Sus scrofa: one gene and its partner. The protein of the gene in region 2 purifies or fractionates together with the protein of the main gene of each other region. This does not show direct contact. Links are inferred from orthologs where the notes say so. Each region holds a gene or a part of one and is shown on either strand. Other genes may lie near its edges.

Region 1 (5,030 bases), on a different chromosome or scaffold from region 2:
TGCCCGGGGGCTTCCCCCTGCACGCGGACATCCTCGGGTAGGGCTGGGACCGGGGAGTGGGCTGGGGGCGTCCTCATCCCTTCTCCCCTGGCCATGACACACCCCTTTTCCCCACAGGCTGCTGCTCCTCCACCTGGAACTGAAACGTTGCCTCTTCACTGTGGAGCTGTCGGGGGATAAAGGTGACAGAAGGCGGGGCCGGGAGGGATGTGGGCTGGGGAGGGGCTCTCGGTTACCCCCGTCTCTCTTACTCCTTCAGAACCATCTCCTGGGCAGCGGCGGCGCCTCCTCCGCTCCTTCTACACCCTGGTCACTGCCACGTACTTCCCACCAGGTCAGCGGCGGGCACAGCACCCGCTTTGCATGCGCAGGCTGGGACCCCGAGTCCCAGGCCTCACGAGGTGGGGGTAGGCTGTGGGGGTGCGGAACGTGGTAGGAGAAGCCGGTAGGAATTGGGCAGGGGAGGAGCTGGGAGGTCCCAGCCTGTAGGTTGGGTTATCCTGATTTAACGCTGAGACCTCATCTCCTGCCAAGTGCTTTTCTGTGTATTGCCTCGCTTCATCCTCATTAATCAATAATCAGTCTCCTTTTAATCATCATTCCCGTATTGCAGACAAGGAAGCAGGCTCAGCTAATTAGCAGTAGAGCCACGATTCAAACCCAGGCGGCCTGGCTCCCACATCCACACAGTCTACTCTGAAAGTACAGGGTCTGCTGAGAGTCTTGGGTGGAGGAAGGGTAGGAGAGTCCACAGAGCCCAGGTCCTGATGGAAAAGTTGTCGCCTAGAACCTGTGAGGCCCAGTGAGACGCAGGAAGGGAACTAGAGCGGAAACTCAGCCCCAGAGGGGACTCTGATGAATGTAACAAAATGGTGAAAAGCACTGGGCTGTGCGACTCCACCTACCCCACCACTTCCCAAGTGTAGTTGGGCCGGGTCCTCAGGAGGGTTACCAGGGCTTGGAGCCTGGTGCCTGTCACCAGAGAAACATCTCCTGCGCATCCGTGATCTGTATTGCCAAGGGGATCGCCTGGCGCTTGCATACACAGGATCGCCAGGAAAGTGGGGGACGGAGGCTGGGTAGGAAGAGGGCAGAAAGTCCGTGACCTCTTAGGTCCTGACAGCCAGCTGGAGCTGTGGGGCTCCCCTCTGTCAGGAGTCAAACTTGGGCCCAAGATGGGGGAGACTCCCACGCAGGTTGGCATCCTAGGGGTCCAGGCCCCACTGGTCACCCCAGCCCTCCCTGTCTTTCCTTCAGAGCCCGGGCAGCCAGAGAAGGTGGAGGAGGCGGTCCACCGGGCCCAGGTGCCGAGAGCCTGCTACCTGGTGTCGGGGCCTGAGGAGCCGGGCATCGGATGGCGGCTGGTGGCCCTGCAGTTGGGGCCACGGCGGCTGCTGCTGCTGCTGTCTGCTCAGAGTCCCACGCACGGGCTTCGGGGCCTGGCCACCCACACCCTGCATGCCCTCACCCCGCTCCTCTGAGCGCCAGACACAGACACGCACACGGGGCTATTAGCGTCTCTCTGTTTATTCGCTCACAATAATACACAGCCCCTGGATGGGGAGGGGGCAGGAGGGGCTACCGGGGGGTGGGGTGGGAGGGGAGGAGGTGCCCACTTCCCTGGCCCCTCTCCCCTCTGTGCTTCGGGGGGGGGGGAAGGGAGGAAGGGGGCTCCCCCTTACCCCCCAGAATGTAAACAGCAGCAGATGAACAAAAATAAAAATACAAAAGGCCAGAGGAAGGTCCTAGGCATCCCCCCACCCCAGGGTCTTCCCTGTCACCAGCGGAGGTCCCCTTACTGCCCCATCCACCACAGCTGCCTCAGTCCTGGGGGCTGCCCGGCACCGGCCACATCTCCGGGGGCACAGTCCAGGGCTCAGAACTGCTGGGCCAGCAGCTCACACAGGTGACGGGAGACGGGCTCCTTGCTGGTGCGCAGGGTCAGCCGGTACATCTGGTGGGGACAGTGGGACTCAGGGAGGTGGCAGAGGGATGGTGCAGGTAGCTCCTCCCCCAAGAGGAGGAGGAAGAGGGGGATACAGGGCAGATAAATGATGAGAGAAAAAGGATAAAGGGATCAGAAAGGTGACATAAAGGACCGGGGTGACAGGAGGTACAGGATGAAAGATAAGAGGTCAAGAAGAGTGGAGAGGCTGTGGGGAGATGCAAATCAGGGAGGATGGAGAGACAGGAGGGGCACGGGGACACATGACTTAAAGGACAGAGTGAGGCAGGAGGACGGGGTGCAGAGAACATAGCAGGGGCCTCCCAGACCACCACGCACCTGAGCCTGGGCGTTGGGCTCCAGCCGCAGCAGACAGCCCACCTGCAGGGCTTTAGTCTGGATGATCCCAGCCCCCACGAAGTTCTCAGGGTTGGGATCCACGTTGTCCAGGAGCGCAGAGCCAAACCCCAGGAGCTGGGGAGGAAGTGGGTGGCCGTCAGAGGGTGCCCGGGCTTTGTTAGCTCCCAGACAGTGACACACCAAATCCCCCCAGACCCTCCTGGGGAAACAGAAGCTCAGAGAAGCTGAGCGGCCGCCACTCCCCAAATCCCAGACCTTGAGAGAGGTGGGGCTGGGGTGTGAGCCCAGCAGGGCCTCTCCTGTCTTGCCTGGCTCACCTTGGCCTTAGTGACCTCCGCGTCCATGGGGTGGTTGGCTTTGAAGATTTTCTGCGCCTCCTGTTGGGGTCTGGGGGCCGGGAAAGGTTCAGGTCGGGGATCGGAAGCCCCCGCCCTGCCCCTCCCCGAGGGCGGCCCCGGCCCTGGCCCCCCGGCCCCGCCGCCCGTGGCTCACAGGCTCAGCTGCTTCCAACGCTGGAAGAAGTCCTGGGCCGCCATCTCCGTCGGCTGGAAGAACTTGTTGATGGTCACCGGGAGCTTCAGGGTGAGGGACTGGGGGGCGCCCCCATACCTGCGGGGAGACGCGGGGAGAGCGGCCTCGGGTTAGACCACGCCCTCGCCCGGAAAGCCCCGCCCACCAGCCAGCGCCCCGACTCCCGACTCACCGGAAGCGCACGGACAGGAGCGGGGGCGTCAGGAAGTCCCGCAGACACTCGATGTTGAGCACCTGCTGCACCTGAGCCCCGCCGTCCACCTGCGAGGCCACCCGCTTGGTCTGCACGGCCAGCTGTGCCGGTGGTCAAGGAAGCCAGAAGCGGCACGGGACGGGGTCTTCGCCATAATCGTTCAGAACACTCAGCCCCAGCCTGCAGGCCTCTGAGAGTCCCTACCCTGCCGTCCCGGTCTCATCCTCCAAGGCCCGGCTCCACACCAAACCAGGGACCCACCCCCCTAGGTGCCTCCTCTGACTTTCCATATTGGGCTCAGACGCCTCCGTTTCTGCAGAGGTCACGCCCGTAGTGCAACTGGAGATCCTCTGTGGCTCTAAAGGCTGACCCGGGTTTGAAGCCCAGCTCTTACCACCTTGGTGACCGTGGGCAAGTCACTTAACCTATCTTAGCCTCATCTGCAAAATGAATTCAGTGTCCCCAGCATTCAATGAAATAATCCAGCATGAGTGCTTGTCAGTGTGTTTGGCACGTGGTAAGTCCACAGAAATAGTGGTAGTTATCACCCTCTGCCTTTATGTCAACAACCCAAAGGCAAGGGTGTCCCTGACTCCCCATCCAGCACAGAGCTGAGCCTACAGGGGCCATACGGAAATTTTTTTTTTTTTGTCTTTTTAGGGCCACCCGAGGCATATGGAGGTTCCCAGGCTGGGGGGTGAATTGGAGCCACAGCTGCTGGCCTACGCCACAGCCACAGCAATGCCAGATCCTTAACCCACTGAGCGAGGCCAGGGATTGAACCTGTGTCCTCAAAAATACTAGTCAGATTTGTTTCCGCTGAGCCACGACGGGAACTCCCTGGAAACGTTGATGAATTAAACAAACGGAAAATGTCCTTGGATTGGGGGCACTATCCACTAGTTTTCCAGCTGTGGGAACTGAGCACCAGAGGATGGGAGAGAGGGGGCTGACTGCTCAAGCGCTTCCTTTACGACAGCCACCCTGCCAGGGCTTTCCAACCACACCGATCTTCAAAACAAGCCTGGGAGAAAGAAGAGGAGAATCCACACTTCACAGAAGGGATAGCAAGGCTCAGAGAGGCCAAGGGACTGGCCCAGGGCACACAGGAGAAGGCCCTGGTCAGCATCAAGACCCCCAGGCCTGGCTAGCCAGGGCAGGAAGGGCTGGGATCATGGGTGTGGAGCCATGGGACGTGGTCAGGGGGTTCCGGAAGCAACACCTCCCGCATCCCTATCACATCACATCACGGTCGCCTCCTGTCCCGGGAGAGAGGCCCGCCCCACCTGACAGATAACACCAGATCTCAGAGAAGTACCATGTACTCAGGCTCTGGAGGAAGAGGGCCCAACAGGGGTCTGGAACCAGGGAACCAGGCCAGACCAAGAGGATATGAGCCTGGAGGTCTCCGGGGTGGACGACAGTGGGCGAGAAGTTCTGGAACTGCACCGAAGTCTTGTTGCCGTAGAAGAGATACATGCGGCCTGTGAGGGGTGGGGCGGGGGAGGGCTCCATCTGAGTTCTTTCCACCCCCTCCCCAGGCCAAGGTCTCCCCGAAACCCTACCCCATCCCTCCCTGGACGCACCCAAGTTCTGCCGGAACTCAGACTTGACGCCGATCTGCAGCAGCTGGTTCTCAAACAGGACCCCGTTGTTCCTGCACACGAACCTGGGTGGGGGCGGTGGGGGCTCGGGATGACGAGTGCCCCCCTGAACCCTGCTTTGTGCTCCCCTCTTGTCCCCACTGCCCTCTCCAACCTCGCCCACGACTCACTTATTCAGCAGTTCATCGGCTTCCGGGATGGGCGGGCCGATGTCCTCAGGACCTGGGCTGCAGGTGGGAGAGGAGGGAGATGGGAGGGGGCCGGGGGGCAGGGGGGCTAGAGGTAAAGGCCCAGAGCTAGTGGTGGGATAATAGCAGGTCCTGAAGGGACAGAATCCCAGAATCCATATGCCCAGATTCTCCCAAGAGCCCCAAAGTCAGACTGGCAATGGGAACAG
Region 2 (3,758 bases):
GCAGTGTACAATGCAACAAAATACAAAATACATGCTTGGTGAACATTCGTTTGTATCTACAAGACGGCAGCTAAAGATTAGGTTTCAATACTGACATTTAACTATCCTACTAGCAATTAGCATTACATCATAATATGCCATCAAGGCAATTTTTTATACTGAAAAAATCAAAATAAAAACCGTTATTTGTAAACTTTTATACGAAATGTAACTCTTCAAGTGGAAATAAAAAATAAAATTTGTCTATTTACTATTCAATACACATAGGATTTCAATTTTTGTTATACTGAGAAAAAAAGCTCTTTTGTGTTGGGAAAATAACGCTTCAAAAAATAATTAGTAGAAAAACCCACCAGTACAATGTTTTGTCCATTCAATGCCAGCACAGATTTGGGAACATACTGAGGATGAAGTCACAGACATCCACAGGTGAAATGTAAAAGTGTATCTTAAATAAATCTTTCCTGTGATTGGAAATAGTTTTGAAATGAAGTAAACTGATTGGAGGTCGTCACAGCTGCTTTTGTGAATTATGTTAAGGGCATTATTACCCCTCTCTCCCCCCTCCCCAAAATTACTAAAAAATAAAAATATATTTATAATGTGCAAGACAAATATGGATTGAACATAAAATGTTTCACATTTTGATCTAGAGTCTAAAAATTAATCAATAGCTTGATCAGACTAATGAATGGAATGTTCACATCCTCGATTAGCCAATATAGGTGCATCCCAAAGCCCTTCCTGCAATGGAAAAACCCAGGTGGCCATTTCCATATTCACCGAGGGAGGCAATGGGTAGGAATTCACAATCGACACAATTGCATTCCTGATCCACTGATCACACCAGCCGTGAGCACTCTGGGCGAGATGAAGGTCAATGTAGCAGTTTTTGTCCCAAATTATAACCAGTGATTGAGTAAACTGCCATCAGCCCTATTATTACCAATAATTAATCACAATGCATTAAAAAGTTACTTGCAATCCTGCAGAATTAGGCATAAGTTGTTGTAAAATAAAAAACAAACAAACCTGTTTTGTCAAAACTGGCAGTGTAAAGAAGGCAGCACTGGAAGTGTCTGAATCATCTGTAATGCCAAGTACCCTCCATAAACTCTTAATGTGGTTAGGCTTTGGGACCCATCGTTTTGAAATCTTAGACGTATACACTTTTCTCATAGGGTCACACAACCTATGATTATCTTCACTCAGCCGAGTTGAACGTCAGCTTTAGCAATTCTTACACAAGCTATGTCTCTGCGTCTACAAGATAGTATTAATAATTCAAACCAAACTAATAGACAAGAGACCACTTAGGTTTAGTGTTACCATAGCAGCCTTTTATAAGTTTACTAACAACTTTAGCCTAATCCCAATAAAGCCTGATAACAGTCATAAGAATTCATTAGGAAGTTTACTGGGGGTACCATTATACCCATGCCTTTACGAGTCCATATAGATATAGTATTTATGTATATATATATAGTTAAGAGTGAATTTGGATTGCCTGAGTAACAGCTGTCTGGCAAACTGGACATGATGGCGTTCTCTTTTCACAGATCTTGTTGGCACATTCCATGCAGAAGAGGTTGTGGCCACATGGAACTAGGGCAGCAATAACTTCATTCTCAAAGCAAATCACACAGTCGTGCTTTCGTCTTGATTCTGGAGGTGAGCTAGAGGTGGAGCCACCATTGGAAGAGGAGTAACTATTGGTACCATTAGAAAAAGCAGGGATGTATATTGGAAGGCCAACATGGTTGCCTGTACTAGGTGGGTCGCTCCTAACCCTCCGAGCAAGTGGGTGTTCAATGCTCTCAGGAAATGTAGGAGACAGACGAGGAGTTGATGGCTGACTTCCTCTACGCTGAGTCTTCATGTTACCAGGAGGATCACTCCCAAAGCCAGAGAGTGGATTAACTGGTTCAAACGGAGTCCAGATAGTTTGAGTGGGTGTTGGTAAAGAGTCAAAGGCAGGAGAATCAACCGCGAGATCTTCTGAGCCTACAGAAGGTAGTGTATCTCCAAACCAAAAGTTTCCTGTGCTAAATGGGCTTGTTGGACTAAAGTCAGCCAGCCTATTGCTTCCAAAGTAGGAATCTGTGGAACCACTTCCCAGAGAACTGGAACTATCGTTTCGATAATTGGATATCATTCTGGCGCGGCTGGGAGGAACTGGATTGGAGGAAAGCCATGCAGAGCCAAGAGTGCCACCTTCAAAGCTTACATCAGTACCGTTATAATGGAAATCATTCTCTTCATTGAGCTCAATGTAGTTTCCTGTACGCATGGCAATATGCATTTCTATTTCTTCTCGTGCTCGGTCAACATTCTCGGGCATCCCTGTCACTTCAAAGACAGGTTCCTTATCTCTGCTCGGTGTTACTATGTAGGTGTGGGTCTGCTGCTGAATTCTTTTAATAGTTGCTCCTTTGGGTCCAACTACTAATCCTACCACACGATAGGGGACCCTGACTTGAACGGTGGTTTGACCGGGCAGATTAGGACTACATGACAACCCTCCCAGGGCCGGGCCATTTTTGTTTCGAGATGCACGAATCATGGAGAAGTGCTCTGCAGCTGAGAGGATTTCTCTTTTGGCCATGGCAACATCTTCTTTCCGCCCAGTGACAACAAAAATGGGCTCTTCACCACGAACAGGCGTCTTGATGTACGTGTTCGTCTTGGCTCTCAGCGCTTTAATTTTACAACCTGTTAGAAAGAAAAGATTTCATTAGAATCAACACCTACTTCAACAATATTGATAAAGGCAAATCAGAGAGAGATCCTTTTAACCTAAGAGTCTGCAGTTTTCCCCCTTTTAGAGTTTTTTTTCTTTATTAGAAAAACTTATCACTATATAATAAAACTTTCCTAACTTCACTAAGACGCCTAGATCCTGAACTACACCCTTCTGGGGATCCCTCTACTAGAGGTTTTAAACTAAGAGGATTATTGTTTTCTCTCTCTCGTTATTAACCATTGCAAATGATGCAGGAATACTCTATATAGGATAGCTACACTATGAGTGGGCTGACTTTCAGAATACTAACAGTTTACTACCTTGCAGGGTGTTGGTGGCAAAGAAAAACCGGTAACGTGTATGTGAGACATTTAATATCTATTGTCTTATTTAACCTACACAACAACCCTAAGAATGAGACTACTGCACTCCTTTTATTGCTAAGGAAAATGAAGTACAGAAAAAAATGTATATAACTTGTCCAAGTTCACACAGCTAGTAAAAGGCACATCCAGAGTTAAATCTAGTCTGACTTTAAAAGTTATAGTGTTTTGTTAGTTCAAGAACCTCCAATTTCACACAACTACACTATATGATAAAAGTTCTTCAACTGATTCCCACTTAATTGTCTTATCATTTTACCTTATCATTACCTTTCCCTCTGTACAGTTCAACTGATGATAAGAGCAAAGTGCTCAAGGCTAGTAGATTGTCTCACTTCTGTTCATCAGCTGGATTTCCGGCTTATTAAAAATCAGCTCTTTCTCCCCAAATCTGTTTATACTAACTGTACTCATGTGCTAAATTATTACATGAACCAGTAACATATGAATGCAAAAAGACACTGAACTAGTATGAAAATTATTTTTAGAAATTTCAATAAAGGATGAGTAAAGAAAAAAAAAAGATGCTGTTGGATGGGACAACTGTAAAATCCTAGGGTAAAAAAAACTAACACAGAATAATTTTGCACTCACTGTAAAGTTCTTGTGAAATTCAAAAGAAACATACTGGA

What was found.
Region 1: the proteins of MEX3C (region 2) and AP2A1 purify together in Homo sapiens (affinity purification with mass spectrometry; 3 studies listed by BioGRID, with this or other methods). This does not show direct contact. The link is inferred for Sus scrofa from reciprocal best matches to the Homo sapiens genes MEX3C and AP2A1.

What each region holds. Positions count from the first base shown.
Region 1 is NC_010448.4:54,820,388-54,825,417, reverse strand, and holds the end of AP2A1 (AP-2 complex subunit alpha-1), read right to left. Parts: intron 4,861-5,030; coding exon 4,804-4,860; intron 4,699-4,803; coding exon 4,616-4,698; intron 4,514-4,615; coding exon 4,424-4,513; intron 3,133-4,423; coding exon 3,009-3,132; intron 2,915-3,008; coding exon 2,798-2,914; intron 2,693-2,797; coding exon 2,623-2,692; intron 2,420-2,622; coding exon 2,285-2,419; intron 1,955-2,284; coding exon 1,877-1,954; 3' UTR 1,512-1,876; downstream 1-1,511. Other genes in the region: FUZ (protein fuzzy homolog), read left to right, coding at 1-37, 118-182, 260-334, 1,258-1,481.
Region 2 is NC_010443.5:100,676,971-100,680,728, forward strand, and holds the end of MEX3C (RNA-binding E3 ubiquitin-protein ligase MEX3C), read right to left. Parts: intron 2,713-3,758; coding exon 1,487-2,712; 3' UTR 1,482-1,486; downstream 1-1,481. UniProt on the Homo sapiens protein: E3 ubiquitin ligase responsible for the post-transcriptional regulation of common HLA-A allotypes. Binds to the 3' UTR of HLA-A2 mRNA, and regulates its levels by promoting mRNA decay.